Linked DNA regions of Rhinolophus ferrumequinum. The protein of the gene in region 1 interacts with the protein of each later gene in a pairwise test. Links are inferred from orthologs where the notes say so. Each region holds a gene or a part of one and is shown in the gene's direction. Other genes may lie near its edges.

The links.
Region 2: the proteins of KHDRBS2 (region 1) and HBZ interact in binary tests that used the Homo sapiens proteins (3 or more experiments, as listed by UniProt). The two-hybrid records come from large-scale screens. The link is inferred for Rhinolophus ferrumequinum from reciprocal best matches to the Homo sapiens genes KHDRBS2 and HBZ.

Annotation. Positions count from the first base shown.
Region 1 is NC_046286.1:26,295,077-26,306,017, reverse strand, and holds the start of KHDRBS2 (KH domain-containing, RNA-binding, signal transduction-associated protein 2), read left to right. Parts: upstream 1-5,477; 5' UTR 5,478-5,752; coding exon 5,753-5,843; intron 5,844-10,941. UniProt on the Homo sapiens protein: RNA-binding protein that plays a role in the regulation of alternative splicing and influences mRNA splice site selection and exon inclusion. Binds both poly(A) and poly(U) homopolymers. Phosphorylation by PTK6 inhibits its RNA-binding ability.
Region 2 is NW_022680357.1:2,217,284-2,227,513, forward strand, and holds HBZ (hemoglobin subunit zeta), read left to right. Parts: upstream 1-6,346; 5' UTR 6,347-6,397; coding exon 6,398-6,492; intron 6,493-6,558; exon of another isoform or gene 6,559-6,782; coding exon of another isoform or gene 6,783-6,844; intron 6,845-7,198; coding exon 7,199-7,403; intron 7,404-7,554; coding exon 7,555-7,683; 3' UTR 7,684-7,784; downstream 7,785-10,230. Other genes in the region: HBM (hemoglobin subunit mu), read left to right, coding at 8,491-8,582, 8,744-8,948, 9,072-9,200. UniProt on the Homo sapiens protein: The zeta chain is an alpha-type chain of mammalian embryonic hemoglobin.

The DNA of each region.
Region 1 (10,941 bases):
CAACTTGTACCATACAACGTTTGTCACCATGTTCCATTACTTCCATTTTCCCCTTAGTTTTTGAACCAGGCAACTAAATGCATTTAGGAGCATGCAGAACACATTATGATATAAAGAAGCATGCACTTTGTCTACGGTGTCCAATAAACTGGATAAAAGTACTTAGAAGACACAGGGTAAAAACAGAAATACAGGGATGTTATGAAATGGTCAAAATCTACAATTATACACAGGATGCATGAACACTAAACAGTTTCTTCTCATTTTCCTTCCATACCATTAAAATAGAGCTACAGTTAATACTAGTATCTATTCAAAATAAATTTTTTTATTCCTATAGTTCATTTAAAAAAATTCTCTAAAAATGGCTAATTCTGTAGTAAATTGCTGAAAATTTTATTTTTAAAGGAAATAAGTAAACCAACATAATTATTTGTATTATATGTTTGTTTAGGGAAAAAGAGAGATAAGTAGGTAATATATTTGCTTTTTCAGTGAGATTTTTAAAGTTATTAAGAACATATTTGGTAATTAGTGGCCAAATTTGTGATTTCAATGCATGCTATAATATAGGTCTCATAATAAAAGTATGGGCTTATGCTCTCCATCGCTAACTAGTAAACCAAGGTTTGGATAAAATATTTTGAGGTTATTTTAGGTAATATCTAGATTTTTTAAAGTTTTAAAAAAATTTTAAAGCAGTTATAGATTTATGGAAAAGGTGTGAAAAGAAGATAGGATAATCTAAAACTCCCTTCATCTAATTTATACAAATGTTAATATTTCACCATATTTGCTGTATCATCTTTTTCTGTTTCTATGTCTCTTTCTTTCTCTTCCTCTGTATATAAATATATTTTTTCTTAATTATTTGAGAGTAAGTTGCAGACATGATATCCCTTTCCCCCTTAAATACTTAATTTTGTATTTTTAAAAACATAGACACTCATTTATATAATCACAATACAGTTAGCAAAATCAGTGAACTAAAACTATAGACCTTATCACATTTTTCCAATTATCCCATTACTGTCCTTTATAGTATGTAGAAACAAATAAAATAAAAACAAAATCTGGCCCAGGATTTAATCTAGGATTATACTTTATGTTCAGTTTTCATGTATTGAGATAATATTCATGGTATTTATTAGCTCTTTCCTGGTTGGTCGTGGTAATCTATCACCCAATATCTTACAAAATGTCTATATCTCTGATTTTTTTATTTTGTTCTCTCTTCACTGTTGGGCTGATAAAATCTTGTCTCTGGAACTGTGTTTTCTAATTTCATTACCATTCTCTTCAAATGGCTTGTACTTACTTTGTAATAACTGTTTTATACAGTAGGATTTCACAGTGATTGTTTCCTGCACGGCAATATCATTTAATGTGAAAGATCAGAATAATAAAAAAAATTATAGCAAGTATCTGCAGTATTTTAAAGCCTTTTATGTGATGGTGGTCTCTTAAAACACTATTCCAATATTAACGGTTCTTTCCATGAATGTTTAAAAACTAATACAACTGAAATTCAATCCACTCTTTCTTCCCTTGTTTTAGTCATGATATAAAACGACTGCTTATACATCTGCCTCTGTGGCAAAAGTTTTCGTGTCCTTGAAGATTGTTTTTATTACATCATTCCTTAGCCTTCATCTATTTATTTTATACTGAATACAACAGAGCTCAGGTCTTCATTTGCTGTGCATGAAAACATTATATTTTACTGATGTGATTTTTCACCTTAATATATTGATCTCCAGTAATAATCAATATGTGAGCTACAATTCAACAATTCAAGGATTTAATTTGAAGAAGACAGTCAATAACTTTCACCTTGAAACAATCACTTCATTCGCCTTTTCTGTAATGCAGTAACTGTTCCTCAGCGGCTATCAACGTCAACCAAAATGTGTTAGTGCAGTGATTGTCCATAGAGATGTATAACAAGATGAACTTTGTCAGTTTTCCAAACAGAGATAATTTCCACATCAGAAATGGTTTATTTGAGTTGTTAGGCCACTTTAGAATAGGAACAGCTTTTTTCTTGGCCTTCCTGTCTTATATTTGTGAAGATTCAGAATAGCAATATTCCAAACAAAATACTAGTAGGCTTTCAACCAATATCAGTCCTTTCTCTCTCTTCTGCTCTCCTTGAATTATACATTTGTGTCTGTTAAAATTCAATATGATAATTAAAAAAACTTTTCCAATCAGAAAACTTTCATATGTATATATGAAAAAAGTTCTATACATATATATGTGTGTGTGTATAAATACCAGCTTTGAGTAGTGAATATTCATTTTGTGCTGTAGCGTATTAGCATATAGCATAAATTTTGGCTCTGAACTCATTACCTATGAGAGATTTCTCACTGCATGTGCTACTGTTGCTATTGGTTGTTGGCACAGCCAAGTCCTAATTCTCTTCTTTTCTACTTGCAACCCTAAAATATATCATAAAAGTTATAAAAGAAGCTGGAGCAATTTCACTTGTTCAGTTAGTGAAACTAAAATAAATCGAAACATTAAAAAACACCTATGTAATGGACTCTGTCAGACTCTTTAGTAGATGAAAATGAGTCATTCAATATTTTAGTCCTTCATTATACTCTGTCCCAGGCACCAGGATATTAGAAAGCTTAGTGTAAATGATCTGGCTGTTACAATTTTATTAACCCTTGGTTCTTATTTGAGTGGCTTCTAATGAATTCTTGGAGTAAGTAGTCAGACTAGTGACATATCCCTAAAGTTGATGAGAACTCTGAAATAAAAACTGTGTGTTTTATGTAATATTATAGGTTGGGTATTTTTTTTTGTTAGTGTGCAATGATAAGCCTGATTAAATGCCCTTTATCCTGGCCTTTCTTATAAAGGTTTGTAAAAGCATTGAATACAAAGTTTGTGCATTAATTATAGGACATAGTCTATAATGCATGCCTTGTTGACCCTTCAGAACCAAGTTTGGTTGGAGCAAAATGTTCCATAATATCCCATTGTTGAAATAATAGTGCAGTAAATGGAATACCATTAAAAAACAAAAACAAAAACAAAAAAAAAACACCTTTCAGGACTAGAACTCATGTTTAAAATGAGATAAATCTTTACCTAAGATATACAAATCAATTCAGTGGTCAATATGGTTAAGTTATTTACACCATTAGAAAAAGAGGTGGGCTTACCAGTAGTTATAATTTATTCATGTTTAGACATATGATACTATCTATTCAACAATTATCTATAGAAGGCTCTCAATTTATTTACATTTATGTTTATAAAATGTTTGTATTAATAAAGTTGTGCTGAGGATATCCACTGTGTAATTGTGGTAACTGTAAAATATTCATATGTGAAACGAGCAGAGAACATATGGTGAGATAGAGTCAGCTATTGAAAATATAGGGATCTGATGTAGGATAAATGTATGTGTAGGGCACCTTTATTCAGTCATATTCTGTTTGGAAATGCATTTCCCCTTTTAAAGTGAAATTTAGATGTTTGCTGAGAGTTTACCTGAGAAAATAAAATTATAAATATTTTTTGGTAATAATTAGGAATATAAAAGTTAGCTAGCTAGTTTACCATATTTATAATGACATGAATATCTACAGACATTGTATAATAAAGTCAACCCTTGGACTACTTTCCATGGTATCTTCTTTCTGCACCTTTAATCATGGAAAAGAGGACTATGAATAGATAATGTAATTGCTGTTGCCGGACGTAACAAGAATTACTGCATGTTTTTGATTCATGAAACTGGGTTTGTGCATGGCCCCATAAGCACTACATGCTTTTAATCTTTTGGTATGATGCAAAGCAAAATGTGATTACAATTACTGCACAATAAATTTTCTAATTTATACTCATTCCAAAGTGTTTACAATTTATTAGTTGTGTTTGGCATCTTACCCACCCTCCACTACAGTAGCTTCTGGCCACCTCTCTGAAGATTGGCAGCATTTCTACTGTCAAAAAATAAAATTATCAATTAGTCATAGTTCTCACAGTTTATTTCATGAACTTTTAACCACCCGATCATATTTGTTAGCCATGTACTCCCTCATCATTGGCCCTGTGGTAGCATACACTCAGCTTCCAGGTAGGATGAACAATTTCTGGTGCCGAAAGAAGTCATGTTTGTTACTTCTGGATTACTGACTTGTCTGTCTGTGCCTTAGTTGCCACATTTATAAAACAGAAAGTAATACTTGAACCATGTTTCACAGAGTGCTTTTTTGAGGACAAATTGAGATCATGGATGTGAAGTCACATAAAAAATGTAAAACATAAGTAAAAAATAATCTCCCAACCTTATCCTGAAAAATAAATAAGGAAAAGATTTGACTACATTAAGAACTTGGAAAAGTTTCAGCATGCTTTTTTGTAGGAAAGTTAGCCCCCATTCTTTCACACCAAAATGGTGGGGGGAGAGGCGAATTGAATAAAATGATTGTTTATGAAAAGAGACAATAGTTTTGTAACATTGAAGCATGCAAGCTGCATTATCAGATCCCATTGTTAAGAGAAGGATGGGAACTGCCTCGAGTGTTGATACCTGCAGCATTTGACTCTCCTTAAATAAAAGTGAGAGAGATACAAACTAGCTCAGCAACGGCACTTGGTGAAAGGCTATCACATCTAAAATACGGAGAAAGGGGGAAATTTGAGCAACTGGGGTTACCTGTTTAACTAGTCTCTTCCTTTTACCACATGTCTCCCTAATTCCTTCACTAATTGTGGCTAATTGTGTTGCTTTTCAGTTGTAGAATTCAGCCCTCTCCCGGAACCCCTCCCATAGATAGGGATGGATTGGAGAGGAGGGATGGATGGGAGAAAAACCAGAATCAAGTCAATACCCCAGTGATCGTACGCTGGAAGCGTATTGCTACAACAATATCGCCCCAGACCCGCTTTATTTGTTTATCAATGAACATCCTACAGCGTCCCCGAGATGTAGGTCAGGCTCTTAGAAAACACAAGCCGCCGATCAAACGCAGTCTTCATTATGTTTCCAGACTGGGTGCGCTGCCGATTCCTGCACAGTGGAGTGCGTCTGAGCCGCATGAGGGAGAGGAGACACCTGTGCCTTAGGGACTCAGGTGAAGTCCTATCTACCTTCCTGAGACTTTCCCTGGTGCTTTCCCTCCCCTCAGCCTTGCACTCCTCATCCCCATTTCCCCTGACGTCTTGGACCCGAGCTTCTCTGCTTAACGGGTGCTTTTCCCGCTCTCTACCCCCTCTGCACCTCTGCTGAAGACACAGAGGGCTCCACACAACTGGGCATGCCTAATAACCAGCGAAGGCTTGGTCTGCAAGAAGAAAGCGTTTGCACCTTCTGCGCCCCCCTCCCATCTACAGCTGCCTCCTGCCAGTCAGGCGATCCGACGTGCGGCTCTGCCCAATGAGAGCCCTCGGCCTTCGCGGGGGCCCCGCCTCTCATAGCACCACCACCAATGAGTGGTTGGCAGAGGTGGGACGCGTCCTGTTCCCGCCTCTCCAGTTAAGGCCGCTTGTGTGAGCCGGGACTGCGCGATCCAGGGACGACGGTAGGGACGGGCAGGTGTGGGCGCTGGGCCGTGCAGCCCGACGGCTGGAGTTGCAGGTGCTCTGTGCATGGGCCAGTGAGGACGCGCGGAGATCCCCTCTCCCCGGCAGAGGCAGAGCAGCGCGGGAGCCAGGCGCTGCCCGGCGACCCTGCGTCTGAGCGAGCGGAACCTTGCGCTTCGCCCGGGGACTGTCCGAAGTCCGCGCTATGGAAGAGGAGAAATATTTGCCTGAGCTGATGGCAGAGAAAGATAGCCTGGATCCATCTTTTGTGCATGCATCACGCCTTTTGGCGGAAGGTAGGACTTGCCTCTATAGATGTGCACAAACCGCCGGCCGCCCATAGCACCCGCGGCTTGGTTAAGGGGAGTGAAGTTGGGGAGGGACGACTGTCTCCTTCGCAGAAACTGTGCCCCTGAAGATGCTCGCGGACTGAGCATCGGAGCTCGGGAGGACAGAACCTATTCTTGGGGCGGGCAACAATGCTCCTTTTAATTTGGGGAAAGATCAAAGCTAGGAGATCTAATGACAGTGGTGATGTGACCTTTTAGAATCATTGATAGAGACACCATAAAGTGTAACGCGGTTCACAGGGATATTTTCACTTCGCAGAGGAAAGGGTAATCAGTTTAGAAGTAAATGATCACCAATGTAGTATTCTAAGAGCTTCTTAGTTACACATCAGCATTTTTTTTTCTGCATTTGGGAAGTGATTCTGTTACCCTTTAGTCTAATTACAGTCTTTCCTATGGAAAGGCTTAGAATTAAACTATTCATGTTCGTCTATGTTTGTGAATGTGGCAGAGGCTAAAGTGCTTATCAATTTATTTGAAGTGCGATGATTGGGTTACTCTGCGAGTTGCTGGTCCCTGGGAACACTCCACAATTGATCAACTGTTTTACCAAGTGTGCATTTTCTTTTGTGTACCTGTAGTGTTAATGGAGATTTCATCCCCAGAGAAACATATGTCTTGTTTTTTTGCATGGCTTTGAAAGGTTGTTTAAACACACACACACACATACACACACACACACACACACACACACACAAACTTCTGTATGACAGAAACATTAGCCAAATCGCATCATTTATCTTGAAATATCGCCTTCGGACTGCTAAAGATTTTCATGATATCTGTAGTAACTAACATACACATACCTTAAAAAAAAAAAAACTCCAGGCTTTTTTTTTTTATTAATCCTTCATTATTAATGAATCGTTTCATCATCAATTTGACTACAATGCAGTTTTGTAGCTTAGGTTGCTATGGGCTTAACCTATAGCAAAACTAAAAGTGACCAACTTCCTCTTCCTCAGCCCTTCAGCATTAAAATAAATGTTTTCTTTTTTGAGACTTATGTAGTTGTACATGGAAGGAAAAATTCTGACCCTCCATGTATGATTCAAATAGGCATTCTGTCTATTTCAAGATTATATTGATAGATTATTATTTATAACAATAATAATGTGTAGGTGTTTTTCCTTTTTTCATAGTAAACAATTAAAGAATTTATAAACAAAATATTGAATGTGTGAAACAAGTAAACTATTTTTCAAGAAACAAGTTGGTTTTGTAGAGTATTTGGGAAGATAAAATGTAATTATGCTTACTACTTTTTTGGTTACTGAATTAAAGCAAATAAAGTAGAAAAGTGAAGTCAATTAAAAAATTAAACTCTCCCTCTATTAAAAAATTAGATAATTACATCAATACATAGGAAAATTAATGAGTTAATAAATGCTTAGGATTGTTCAAAACGATTAAAAATGCAAGTAGGCCTTCTCAAATTGCTTAGTTCAATATATTTTCCAGAAGTATCTTCATTTAGCTATTAATATCTTTAAAATGAAAACAGTATACTACAAATTGATGATTTTCTGTAACCTGCTCATTGGAGTTCTCTTTGGGGCAGCAGGCTCAGTGATTAATTCATCTTTCACTAATGAGAGTGTATTTTTTAAAACGGCCAAGCTAAAGAAATGAATGTGAGAAAGTCTTAATGGAGTGCAAAGTATTTCTGCGACTGGTGAAACAGTCAGAGAAGGCTGTGCACCTGGTTCTTTAAGCATTTTATCTTTCCTAGGAACTTGATTTCTTGATACTTAAGAACATGTTCAGATGTACCTTGTAATTTAATTTTTTCCCAGTAGGGGGAAGCATGTCCTACTTTTGTAAAGCCTTAGGAGGAAAAGCTCATAAATAGAGAGAAAATAATCTAAGTAAGAAACAAAGAGAGGTGTCTAAATTTCAGAGAAATCATAATGAGGATAAGAGAATGGAGGAGGTGATGATAAAAATCTTGAAGGGTATAAAGAGACGCAAACAGATGCATAAAGTTTAAATTCGTTCTCTCATTACCTGAGGCTTTTTATGTGTGCTTATTAAGGAGGGTAAGGTGAGTATCCTTTGGACTCTTTAATAAATCTTAATGTACATTTTACATTATAGATCTTTCATTACCTTTTCAAAGGCCATTTGTTAAGATTTCCAGGTTTTGGTTCACATCTGTATGAGAGAGTATTGTTGAGATGATTTTCCTTCTCATACCTGGAAATGCACTGATTGAAGGCAGTGGCTATAAATAAACCTGACATAGATATTCATTTGGAAGGAAGGTGCACACTGAAGTACATTTCAGTCAGTACTGTGCAGACAGTCTCAAGACTGAGTGAGTAATAAAAATGATCCAGATGATTCAGTTCTTCGGAATGATTTTTCCGGAAGCTTATATATATACCGGAGTGCCAAAAAATGTATACACATGACTTGTATTCATCTTTTATTATCGGTATATATTAAGTATTATACTTTTAATACAGTTTTTTCCTTTCTTAAAATGTGTATACATTTTTTTGGCACCCTATATATTTGTGTGTGTATTTGGCACACTATATATATTTGCATATATATATATATATATATATATATATGCAGTGATATAAACCAATAAGCTTTCACAATGATTTGTTTTGCTTTTGTGATTGATGATAGATGCAAATTAGTGCTCTATTGTTACTATTATGTTTAGAATTGGAGGCCATGTTTAAAAGAACTATTTTGTTGGTAATTTTGCTATTTGTGTGTGTGTGTGTGTGTGGTTTGTTTTATTTCAGTTGTTGCTGCTGTGTGTTTTCAGTAGGAATGATTCTGAGAAAGCTAATGAAAGAGCCCAAACATTTTATGAATTCGATTGCTATTTAGAAAAGATCTTGAATAGTATGGTTGAAGAGTGTTTATAATATGTTTGATTAAATTAAATAATTTTCCTTCTATGATTATCATATTTAATTATCCATTTGTTATGGAAGGTGTTTTTACATATGATGAAACAGCAAACTCAGCATTATCTTTCAAGTTCCACTCAGCCTCTGAATTTGCTTGCCAGATGAAATTAGATAAGGTTATTTATATCTATGCTACTTCTGGTAAGTGCACTAAACTGTGAATCCAGATACCTGGATTTTAATTCCACTTTTGCCCCATGTGAATCTTGATAAGCTTTCCTTCCATGGACCTAGATTCCTTGTCTCACAAGTTAAGGAGTTGGACTAGATGATCTATATGTTTCTCCATAATTCTAATTAAGTCTGGGACTAATGCTGATGCAAAGGAGTTGTATTTGTGTATTCAGAAGACCAAAATCAATGGCTGAAACTTTTTTTATTCTTTCTTAGTTTAATGATTAATAATACATATATTGTACTATAATGTAATTTGATGCATATACATTATTTTGGGTACTGAGGACAGATTTATGTTCTTAAATCGATAGAACTATTATCTTCATAATAATTTGGGGCTACAAATGTATATATATATATATATGGAAATATTATTGTTTGCTGTCAAGCATGCCTGTCCGCTGACAGACATAGATCTGTTCAAATTTATAGATTCAAATATGGTGATTCCATACCTTTAGGAGGATTAATAAATTTTTGTCCAATTGAGAGTATTCCAGGTGCTCTGATTGGCAAGACTTGGTAACCTGAATTCTTCACAAATTTTGGTAGATTCATCATTGTTTTGTTTGCATCATCATATGATGAAGCGAAATATTGCCAAATATCTCAACAGTGGAAATATTTATTTTTAGAAAGTCTAGGTGCTACTTTCAAATTTTGGTGAAAAGCTTGGCAGTCCATCTAGGATTGGCCTGCTTGTATGCAGATATAGATGAACTTTTGATACCACAAGAGAAACAGGGATTAACATTTATCACAAATACTGATTTCTAGTGACTTAACTATATTTAGATTCTCAGTAAGGATCATTTTTTTTTTTAATTTAGATTGTGTTCCTTAAAATATTTTCCATAAAGCTTAGTAAAGATATTGGTATAATACCTTTAAAATCTATAAAATCAGCTTCTCATCAAGTAATATTCATATGACTTTTCCTTTAACGTAATTCTTTTTTCTCCTCTCAGTATCTTTGGCATAATCTTATTTACGTTTCTTCAGTAAAGAACAAAATTGTCAGAAAAACTAAATTTAAGGTATCTTTGATCTGCTATTAAAACTCATTTACAAAATCGTGGAAAAATTCTGCTTAAGCAAACAAAATACTTGGCACAGAATGTTGAAACTTCTGTTTACTATGAAATATAGGATATATCATTTATTTCCTTTCTGATTCTCAGTTTCTTCATCTGTAAAACAGGCAAATTAACATCTACTTGGCATGGTTCAATTAAGGTAAAAAAATGCTGTGTGTGATAATATAAGCAGTATTTTATATAAATATAAATAGAAGTTTTATTCAACTATAACAAAAACATAAGAAGAAATTATACAAATATCAGATGATGCTTTCAAGATTTTCCTTAACATTTTAATGGCATTTGTGAACTTGACCTCAACTTGAAGCTTGATTTTGTAAGAAAATAAGCACTGCCTTTGAATCACTGCTGAGTGAAATTTGAACTCATAAACCAAATCATGAAATACATTGTCTTACGAAAAATGATTCCAATGAGGGTTTTTAAAATATCATATTCCCTTAGTCAATGGTTACTTGTCTTGATTTTACTTGAGCTTGATTAGCTCTGGTTCTGTGTGTTTAAGAATAATTACAAACCTCCTCAGGCCTCTTCACAAACCCATATTCCTTTACTCTTGGCAGCTGATTTCATCCTGTTTTCTTGGGGGAAATGGATATATCTTTTCTGACATTCTTTAACCTCCTGCCACCTAAAAACTTCCATCCTCATTCCCACTGTCTTTCATTCCCAAAGGATGAAATGTCTTTCATTCCCCTTGTTTTTCAAGGCTGACTTGTTCACCCATATTCTTAACTCTAATGCTCATCATCTCTTCCAGACTGGTTCTAAGTTATATCCTTTTCTTTAGTATCTCCAACTTCTTCCCTATCTACTCTTCCCTTGTAGCAGCCT
Region 2 (10,230 bases), on another chromosome or scaffold:
GAAAGGAACAAACAGCGTTCCCAGCGTGAATGGGAAACTAAGGTTGGTTTCACCCTGAGGTTCAAGACACCTGTCTCTAAATGTTGCTTTCTTCATTCTAAAAGTAACACTTTTTTGGGGGAGGAAGTTTAAACTATAAAGTACTAAAATAAAATTTGAAAGTAATCCATGAATCATAAAACACTATAAAACTCTTACTACTACTATTAATAAAAATAGTGGTAAACATTCATGACCTTGGAGTGGATAATGATTACTTAGATATAATACCAAATGCACAAGCGACTAAAGAAAAAAATTAATTGATTTTATCAAATTAAATGTTTGTGCTTCAAAGGACACCACCAAGAAAGGAAAAAGAACACCCACAGAACAGGAGAAAATATTTACAATTCCTATATCTGATGAAGGAATTGTATCCAGACATATTTTTTAAAAACTCTTACACGTCAGCAATTGTCATGCGGGGTGTCGTGCAGGGTCTCTGGTCCCGCTCCCCACATAAGGACGCAGGACATGGTGAGGCCAAAAAGGAACACCCACGGAGCCATAGACAGGGGAGTCAGACCACTATAGTCTCGCTGCAGCCTGGTGGGCAACACACGAAGTAGGATCCACACCATCCACAATCCACCGTCTGCTTCTCTGCCTGCCAACCAACCATCACAGCCACGGAAGTTGTATCAGCGGCAAGTGGCTCACTGGTTACAGCTGATGGCCAACCAGTCACAGCTGATGGCCATCCATTACCCGAGTCAGCACCTTTCCACGTGAGGCCGAGAGCCTGGAAACTGCTCTCTGGGACTCTGTCCCCACAGCAATAAAAAGACAGCCAATTGGAAAATATGCATATGAAGTGAATTGATGTTTCTCCAAAGAATATAAACAAATGGTCAATAAGCACATGAAAAGATGTTCTATATCATTATCATTAGCATAATGCAAATGAAAAACAGAGAGAGAGAGCACATCATACACACTCGGAGAGCTATAATCAAAAAGACAACAAATAGCACTTGAGATCTTGCTCCCCAATATATGTCATCAATTCAGCTTAAATAAACTCTTATAACAATTCAAAAAAAAAAAAGCAACAAATGTCGGAGATGGGGTGGAGAAACTGGAATCTTTACACACTGCTGGAGGGAATGTAAAATGGTACAGGTACTGTGGAAAACAGTCTGGCAGTTCCTCAAAAGGTTAAATATAGAGTTCCCATTCAACCCAACTATTCCTTTCCTAAGTATATAACCAAGAAAAATGAAAACATAAGTCTACACAAAAACTTGCATGTTCATAACAACATTATTCATAAGAGGCAAAAAGTACAAACAAGCCAGTTGCCCATCAACCGGTAAGTAGATGAATAAAATATGGTATAATCCATACAATGGAAGAGTTCAGTCGTAAAATGTAATGAAGTACTGATCCAATGAATGAACTTTGAAAGCATACGTAGTGTATGATTCCATGTTATAAATGTCCAGACTAGGCAAATCCATAGAGACAGAAAACAGATTAGTTTGTCCAGGGCTGGGATAGTTGGGGCGGTGTGACTGCTAATGAGTTTGTTTTGGGGTGAATAATATTCTAAATTTGATTGTAGTGATGGTTGCATAACTCTATACTAATTATACTAAAACCCACTGAATTGCACGCTTTAAATGGTGAATTTTATGGTATGTGAATGATGTCTCAATACAGCTGTTTTTAAAAGTCAGAAAAATCCCCCCACCCACTCGATTCTAGTCTTCCCTAGGAGGTGACTATAGTTAACAGTCTATTGTGGCTGTTTCCAACTCTTTCTCAAACACCTCACATGCATGAGAACATAACCGCTTAACTAAGGGATAACCATTTTCTTTGCTGAAGTAACCTTCTTTTACTGAAGCTGACACAGATTTGTGGGCTAAACCTGCCAGGGTGGAGTACATGCATTTCAAATGCCTCAGACGTTCCCAAACAAACGTATTGCCCTACACGGGGCTGCATAGCATTGACTTGTCTTGTTTTTTTTTTTTTACAAAATTCCCAGAAAAGAAAATGGTGTCTTAGCCTATGTTGTATTTCTTTTATTATTCCTGAGGTAGAGAACTGTATCGCTTGATTATTTGCCAGTGTCTGAGAATTGCCGTCTTGTTTTCCTCGTGGGTTGTTTGTCCTTCTTTGATGGTTTGGACACATTCTCTTTGTGAGGGGTAGTTACCCTCGGTTGCAGATTCTGCAAGCCTTTTTTCCCAGTCTGCTATGTTTTGATATTATGTATAACCAAAGGTTTCTGAGGTATCCCACAGTTCCCAGGATGTCCCAGGAATGGAAATAAGGACACAGAAGAAGGAGGTGGGGCTGGGAGAGCTGGGCAGATGGGGAAAGGGGAGCCCGCTGTCTGGGGAGATGGCCAGCTATGGTAACAGGGCCCTCCCCACAGGGGTACCAGGAATCTGTGGGTGCCCAGACATAAGGACCAGGACTCTGGCTCCCACTTCCCTGGGCCATGCTGCTACCCCATCCGATAGTCCCATGGCCCTTGAACCTGAAGGAGCAGGTGTAGTGTCCAGAGGCTCTGGGGGTGGCTGTCTCTGGGCTGGGGGAAGGCATAGACTTAGAGGAACCCACCACTCCCCAATTACCCCCTCAGTGTCCTCTTCCTGCTAGCAAGCTTCATAAGAGCATTTACTGTTTATTTTCAGGCTATGGTTAATATCTTTTCATTGTATCATGCATGCACTGTAATCCATAAAAGGTGACGGGAGGTGACGTGTGGGATCCTGGCCCACAGAGGTCCCGGATACATCCCTCCCCAGGCTGCCTTCAGAGGACTCGGGTGCAAGAATGTCCCGGGTTAGACTGGAGCGAGCAGAGGTCTGAATCCCACCCTCACCAGTAGCAGTGAGGGTCCACGTTTGTCAATCTCATTGCGCTGAAACGGACGTCAGAGCTTTTTGTCACTCCCTGGCCAATCCAGCCTGGTGCCGGCAGCCAGAGGGACCAGGGTAGGCAGGCCATGCTTTGCACCTCCAGTTCCCACCAGTAACAGGAGTGGGAGAAGGTGGTCTCTAAGTGCAGTGCTGTGTCCTGGACAGGGATGTGAACAGAGTCAAGCTTGCTCACTTCACGGTCTTCCCTGAAAACAGCCCCCACCTCTACGTCCTCATTCTACATTTAAATAACTCTTGTGCAACCTACTTTTCAGAAGGTAAGAGGATTCTTAAGATCCGAAACTCCTGACCCTTCCTCCCATCCTGGGTCCCCCCCAGGCAGGGCCAGGAGGCCACTTGGATGGCCAGGTCTTATCTGTCCTGCCACTCAGTCGGGGCCCGATAGAGCCACCCTGTCTGTCAGGGGGCTGGGGGGACTCAAAGACCCTATCTGGGACCCACCTCCACACCTCCACCTTCTCTGGTGCAGTGTTTCCGCCCAAGAGGAATAACTCACCCACAATAGAAACTACGATAATCTTGAACTCATGCTGCCATTATGCCTGTTAATAGTGGGGTGGAGGCTGTTTAACTCCCACCCGAGAGGTTGAAACAGTGAAACTGGGGCTCACGATGGTGATTAGCCTGCCTGGGGTCACCCAGGGGCTGCTCTCAGGGGAGGGTCTGCAGAACCCTATCTGCACTGAGTGACGCAGGGCCCCCCAGCTCAGCTTTTGCTACACAAGTTCAGAACAAGCCTGGGGCTTCAAATTCTTCCCAGAGACCAGCGGGTCTCAGTGTCCAGAAGCACAGGCTTGGTGTCCTCATGTCACAGGGAACCAAGGCCCAGCGACAGAAGAGATTGCGCGACCCCCAAAGAGCCAGCAGCCTGGCTTGTACCAAACCTAGATCTCCCGTTCCCCTGAGAATGGTTCCCACCTCCACTGAAATATCAAACATACAGAGGGTGCCAAACACATATATACACATTTGAAGAAAGGAAAAAACTATTAAAACTGCAATACTCAATATATAACGATAACAGATGAATAGCAGTCATGCGTATACATTTTTGGGGCACCTCCAGTATTTCATTAACCTTCCTGAGCCTCCATTTCCATATCTTAAAACATGTAATGACAATGACATAAAAAAATCTCTCCCAGAGAGCTATGAGAGTCAAACGCCCAACATGAAGAGTATTTGGTACTGTGCCTGGGGCTTAGAAGGCACTAGATAAATGTCAGCTAAAACCAGACGGCGGGCCTCACCTCACAACCACCAAAAATCAGTCCACAGGGGGCTGTTGCCCCACTCAAAACACCAAAGTCAAGTTCTTAGAACGATAATACAGACAGTTCTCTACGCCTCAGCATGTGGCACAATGCTTATTTCACTTTTTAAAAACTTGAGGTAAAATTTGCATGACACAAAATGAACCATTTTTTTCTCTTCTTAAGTACTTAATTATTATTTTTTAAATTAGTTTCAGGTGTACAGAAGAACATAGTGATCAGACATTTACACAACTCACAAAGTGATATCTCCAATAAATCTAGTACCCACCCGACACTGTACATAGTTATTAGAACATTTTCGACTATATTCCCCATGTGGCACTACTCATCCTCGTGACTATTTTTTTTTTTACTATAGTTGACATTCAGTATTATTTTATATTAGTTTCAGGTGTACCGCTTAGTTACATTTGTTACCGGTTAGACATTTGTATAATTTATGAAGTGATCCCCAAAATACGAAACGCTTCACGAATTTGTATGTCATCCTTTTTCAGGGGCCATGATAATCTTCTCTGTATCGTTCCAATTTTAGTATACGTGCTGCCGAAGCGAGCACCAAAATTAACCATTTGAAAGGGAACAATTTAGTAGCATTTTGTGTGTTCACAAGATGGTACAGCCATCATCACTATCTAGTTTCCAGAATATTTTCATCATCCCAAAAGGAAATCTAGTATCCATTATGCAGTAGCTGGCTCATCCCCTGGTACTCATTCATCCACTTTCTGTCTCTATGGATTCACCTATTCTGGACATTTCATATAAAGGGACTCATACAACAGGTGGTATTTTGTGTCTGGCTTTGTTGACATAGTATAACGTTTGCAAGTTTCATCCATGTTGCAGTGTGTAACTGCTTCATTTTCATGGCTAAAGAATATCTCGTTGTATGGATACACACCACATTTTGTTTACCCATTCATCCACTGATGGACATTTGGGTTGTTTCCACCTTCTGGTGATTGTGAATAGAACAATGCAACATTGTTAAACAGGACAAAAAAAAATCACTAACTTTTACTGCACTAAAATTATAAATGTCTGGGCAGCCGGTTGGCACAGTGGTTAGAGCGTGGTGCTCATAACACCAAGGCCGCTGGTTCGATTCCCACATGGGCCAGTGAGCTGCGCCCTCTACAACTAGATCGAAAACAATAACTTGACTTGGAGCTGATGGGTCCTGAAAAAACACACTGTTGCCCAATATTCCCCAATTTAAAAAAAAAAATTAATTATAAATGTCTGTTCAACCAAAAACATCATTAAAAGAATGGAGGCAAACTACACACTTGGGGGCAATATGACACGTCAAACTGACAAAGAAGTTATATCCCGAGTGAAATGCAAAAGGGTGGCAGGTGGGAACTTTTGGGGGTGAGGGAGCTACTGCGTATCCTGATTTTAGTGGAGGTTACATGACTCTATACACATATCAAAATTCACAGAGAAGTACACTCAAAGAAAGTCAATTTCATTGCATGTTAAAATAAAATTAAAAGGAATATTTCCCTCATTATGTTAAAATGATGATATGGTGAGCAATATTGCAATCCCTAATAGCACGTGATATTAGAATTCTTTTATTGACCTAGCTTCTCAGGGGACAGATCCAGTTAGTACATCTGTGCTCAGCACCAGGTGGGCAAAACATTTGTTTTCTCAGAGGAAACCCAGGAATCATAGAGCCATTGGGGGGGGGGGGAGCCCTGACATGTGGCCAGTGCGGGCTAGCCACGGGATCCCACCAAAGGGGGAAGAGCGGTGCAGGCAGCTCGGGGCATGTTCCAGCCCGGGGAGCGTGCGTCTTGGGCCCTGCTCTTCTGGCTTCCCTCATTCTGTGATTCTGAAATGGACAAAGATGGTGTAGGGCTGACCTCCTGGGCTGGCTGGGCCCCTATCTCTGTAGGATTCTGGTCAGGCTGCAGCCAACGCCCTGTCTAAGGCCTAACAAGGGTGGCAGGAGTGATAGCCCCTCACCCCACCTGTCCCTGCAGGCTCTGACTGCCCCCAGTCCCTGGATCTGATAAGAGACCCCACCCTCCACAGCCCCCTACCCTCTCCTGACCAATGCCCACCACGGATGACACCGAGGCTCCATGCATATAAGGGGACGCGGGAGCTAGCTGAGCACCACCGAGGCCAGTCCCGGGCTCACCCCGCTCCAGCTCGACCTCCACCATGTCTCTGACCAAGGCTGAAAGGACCATCATCACATCCATGTGGAACAAGATCTCCACACAGGCGGACGCCATCGGCACCGAGGCCCTGGAGAGGTGAGTGCCACATGGGATGGGACGGTGCCAGGTAGTTACAGTGTGAGGGTGTTGCGGACAGGGGACAGTGAGCCGGGGAAGATGAATTGTGCAGACTTCTGACTGACCCTGGGTTCACTGAGGTGTGAGCAGGCCAGGCCCAGGTTCCCACCTGAAGGCCCCGGACAGTTTCTTCCGAGGCCTAAAGCGCCTTCTGAGGCAGTTAGGTTGCTAGCAGCACAGATACCAGGGTCTCTGACTCTGGGGAAACCACAGTGGAAAGAGGTTTTCCCTGAAGAGACCTCCCTGGGATGCTGCTAGGGAGGGCATTATTTCTGGCGGAAGGTGGAGCTGGAAGCCTGGTCAAGGGCTGGTAAGGAGGCTCCTGTGGCGGAAGGAGGTGAAAGGGGCTAGAGGCCAAGGCTGGGGGGATTTGGAGAGCTGGTCGTGCTGACCCCGTTGGAAGCAAAGAGACAAGCCCGGAGTTTGCAGCGGCCTGGAATAGGGCCGGGTGGGGGGTGGTTGGGTGGTGGGAGTGACGTGGGGGGCCTCTAGATGCGCTTGGGTGTGAGGCACCAGGCTGAGAGCGAAGGGGGAGCTGCCCAGCGTGCAGGGCCGTTGGCGAGGTGGAATGTGGATCCTCGAGTTGGGAGCAGGGCGGGCTGGATGGTGGGGAGGTAGCCAGGCAGCCCTCCTCCGGAGCTCACGCCCCGCCCCCCGCCCGCAGGCTCTTTGCCAGCTACCCCCAGACCAAGACCTATTTCCCGCACTTCGACCTGAACCCCGGCTCCGCGCAGCTGCGCGCGCATGGCTCCAAGGTGGTGGCCGCCGTGGGCGACGCGGTCAAGAGCATCGATAACATCGCGGGCGCCCTGTCCAAGCTGAGCGAGCTGCACGCCTACATCCTGCGCGTGGACCCGGTCAACTTCAAGGTGGGAGAGAGGGAGGGGGTCCTGGCTGGGTCGGAATAGAGGCGGGGCCCGGGTGGTGCGAGAGGGGCTGTGTCTCACCTAGAGGGACTCCGCCCCCACCGAGACAGCACCCCAGCCCTGCGCGCTGAGCCGCCTCTCCCCCGCCCCCCAGCTCCTGTCCCACTGTCTGCTGGTCACGGTGGCCTTGCACTTCCCCGCCGAGTTCACGGCCGATGCCCACGCCGCTTGGGACAAGTTCCTGTCCGTCGTGTCCAACGTACTGACCGAGAAGTACCGCTGAGCTGTCACCGGACCCCGGAGGCCCGGCTTCGACCTCCCCTCTACCCTTAAATACTCTCACAGATCCTCCCGGTACTCCCCAATAAATGGATGAGGATGGAATGAGCTGAGTCCTGCGTCCTCAATATTGGGGGGAAGGAGGGAACAGAGGGAGGGATACAATAGAGGAGACCCCGGGGTCACACCAGGCCTGCAGGACACTCCCCGGGTGCTTTGGGGCGGTCCTTGCACCTGCGGACCTCAGAGTCGCAACCGGAAAAAGCAGAACAGCCTCAGTCACCCACGCCGTTTTCTCTGGGTGCGTTTGGGCCTCTCGAAATCGCCCAAAGACTGTCGCTTCACTCAGCGTGTTGGCTGCGTGTGGGGACTCAGGGGACTTTTCTTCAAAGCCTGAAGTCAGAGCTCCCGCGCTGCAAGGACACCTGATACAGTTTCCCTCCTGGCCCCTCGGGGGATAAGGGCGTTCCTTGGCCGGGCTCTTTCTCCCGGTCTTTACATCGGTTCCCTATTGGCGAGCGAAGCAGTAACTTTGCCCGCGGGGAAGTCATTACAGATTCTCCTAGAGTCCGCAGCAAAGGCACCCACGCCCAGCGGCGTGAGTCTGTGCCATTAACACCGGGATCCCTAAGGCGGTGGTCTCCGCGGCGGTGGGGACCTAGGCTGGCGACGTTTCCCCGTGCCGGCCGAGGGTCCCCGAGTTCCCGCCACGCTGCTGCAGATAAGAGCGGGCGGGGCGCCCGGCTGGGGGTGCCGCTATAAGGAGGCGGGGTCCGCGGGCGCGGCCCCCAGAGCACGCCACGCCAGCGCCATGCTCAATGCTCAGGAGCGCGCCCAGGTCGCGCAGGTCTGGGACCTGATCGCGGGACACGAGGCGCCCTTCGGGGCGGAGCTGCTGCTCAGGTGGGTCGGGCGGGGTCTCCAGCATCGCAGGGAGGCGAAGACGGGGGTATTGGGCCTGCGTCCCCAGGGGGCAGGCTAGACCCGGGTGTCCAGGGGTCAGGGCGATTGCAGGCGCTGGAGAGACCCCACGCGCCCGCCCTCCCACTGACCTGCTCCCGCAGGCTCTTCACCGTGTACCCCAGCACCAAGACCTACTTCAAGCACCTGGGCGTCTTCCCTGACGAGGTGCACCTACTGAGCCACGGAAAACGCCTGCTGGAGGCGGTGGGCGTGGCTGTGCTGCACATGGACAACCTGCGCTGGGCGCTGAGCCCGCTCGCAGACCTGCACGCGCACGTGCTCCGCGTGGACCCCTCCAACTTCCCAGTGAGGCAGCCCCGGCCCCTGGAGGGTTTGCGCGTGCAGCCGTGGGGAGGAGGGGCTTGTGGGTGGAGTTCCGGGAGGGACCGGAGAGAGCAGACACCCTTTCCCCCGCCCCTTCTCCCGCAGCTGCTGATCCAGTGTTTCCAGGTGGTGCTGGCCTCCCACCTGCAGGGCGAGTACACGGTGGAGATGCAAGCGGCCTGGGATAAGTTCCTGACCGGCGTGGCGGTGGTGCTGACGGAGAAGTACCGCTGAATCCCGTGCCCTCTGGCTTAGGTCTGTGCGAGTCAATAAAGAAGCCTTTTGAGGCGAGACCCGTGCGTGTGTGTGGTCATTGGGCCGAATCACTGTTGCTGGGCAGAGAGGCTCCGGGTCCCGCGGGGAGCTTCCCGGTTCGGAATCTTAGGGTGTGACCCCAAAACTTTGGTAACAGTGGAATGGCGGCCGGGAGCGGATCCTGAGAGCTCTCCAGACTTGTAATGTAGACGGTTCTCGGGGCTGACCATCCTGGGCCTGGAAGTGCGTGAACCCCCAAAGGCTAGAGCGGAATAGTTGCCCTCCGTGGCGGCTGGTATGTGGTGGGGCTGAGTGGGTGCTCAGATGGAGGGATCCTGTAAGACTTCAGCTTGCATGGGGCACCTGAGTGGTGCCATACCGTTGGCAAATCACAGCCGCATTTCATTCATTCATTCATTCATTCAGTCAGTCAGTCAGTCAGTTATCCCTTCGCCACTTCACACATCCTTTGCAGACAGACATGGGCACCCCGGCCCAGGGGCCAAGTTCCTGGTCTGGAGTCAAACAAGAGTTTGGGGTCCAGAGCTCCTCGGACCCTCAGCTCTGTTGGTTTCCCACATTCACTACCGCCGCTCAGTCTACAGCAAACCCTGCCTTGGGTCAACTTAGCCCCTTCTTCTGAATCTCCTGGGGTGGGGGATGGGGGTACAGAGGAATTCCTAGGTGGCCAGAGAGCAGGTTTTCCAACCTGGTTCGCATCAACAAACTAACTCATGGACGGGGGTGGGGGAAGTGGGGGGTGGAGGGGGTGGTACCAACCTTGCTAGGCTTTGAAATAATTTATGAGATAATAACTCGGGGTGGGTGCCTGGCAGGACCCTGGCGGCCCAACCTCCACCCTACCCCTCAGCCCAGCCGCTATGTCTTTCTTAGTCTCTGCGGGTTTTCCAGCCGAGGCCTTCTTCCCCCAGTGCTCCACTCCCAGCCTCTTGCCACCGTGGGTTGGGGCAGGAATCTTAACGGTTCCACCCAGAGTCTTTGAGACAAT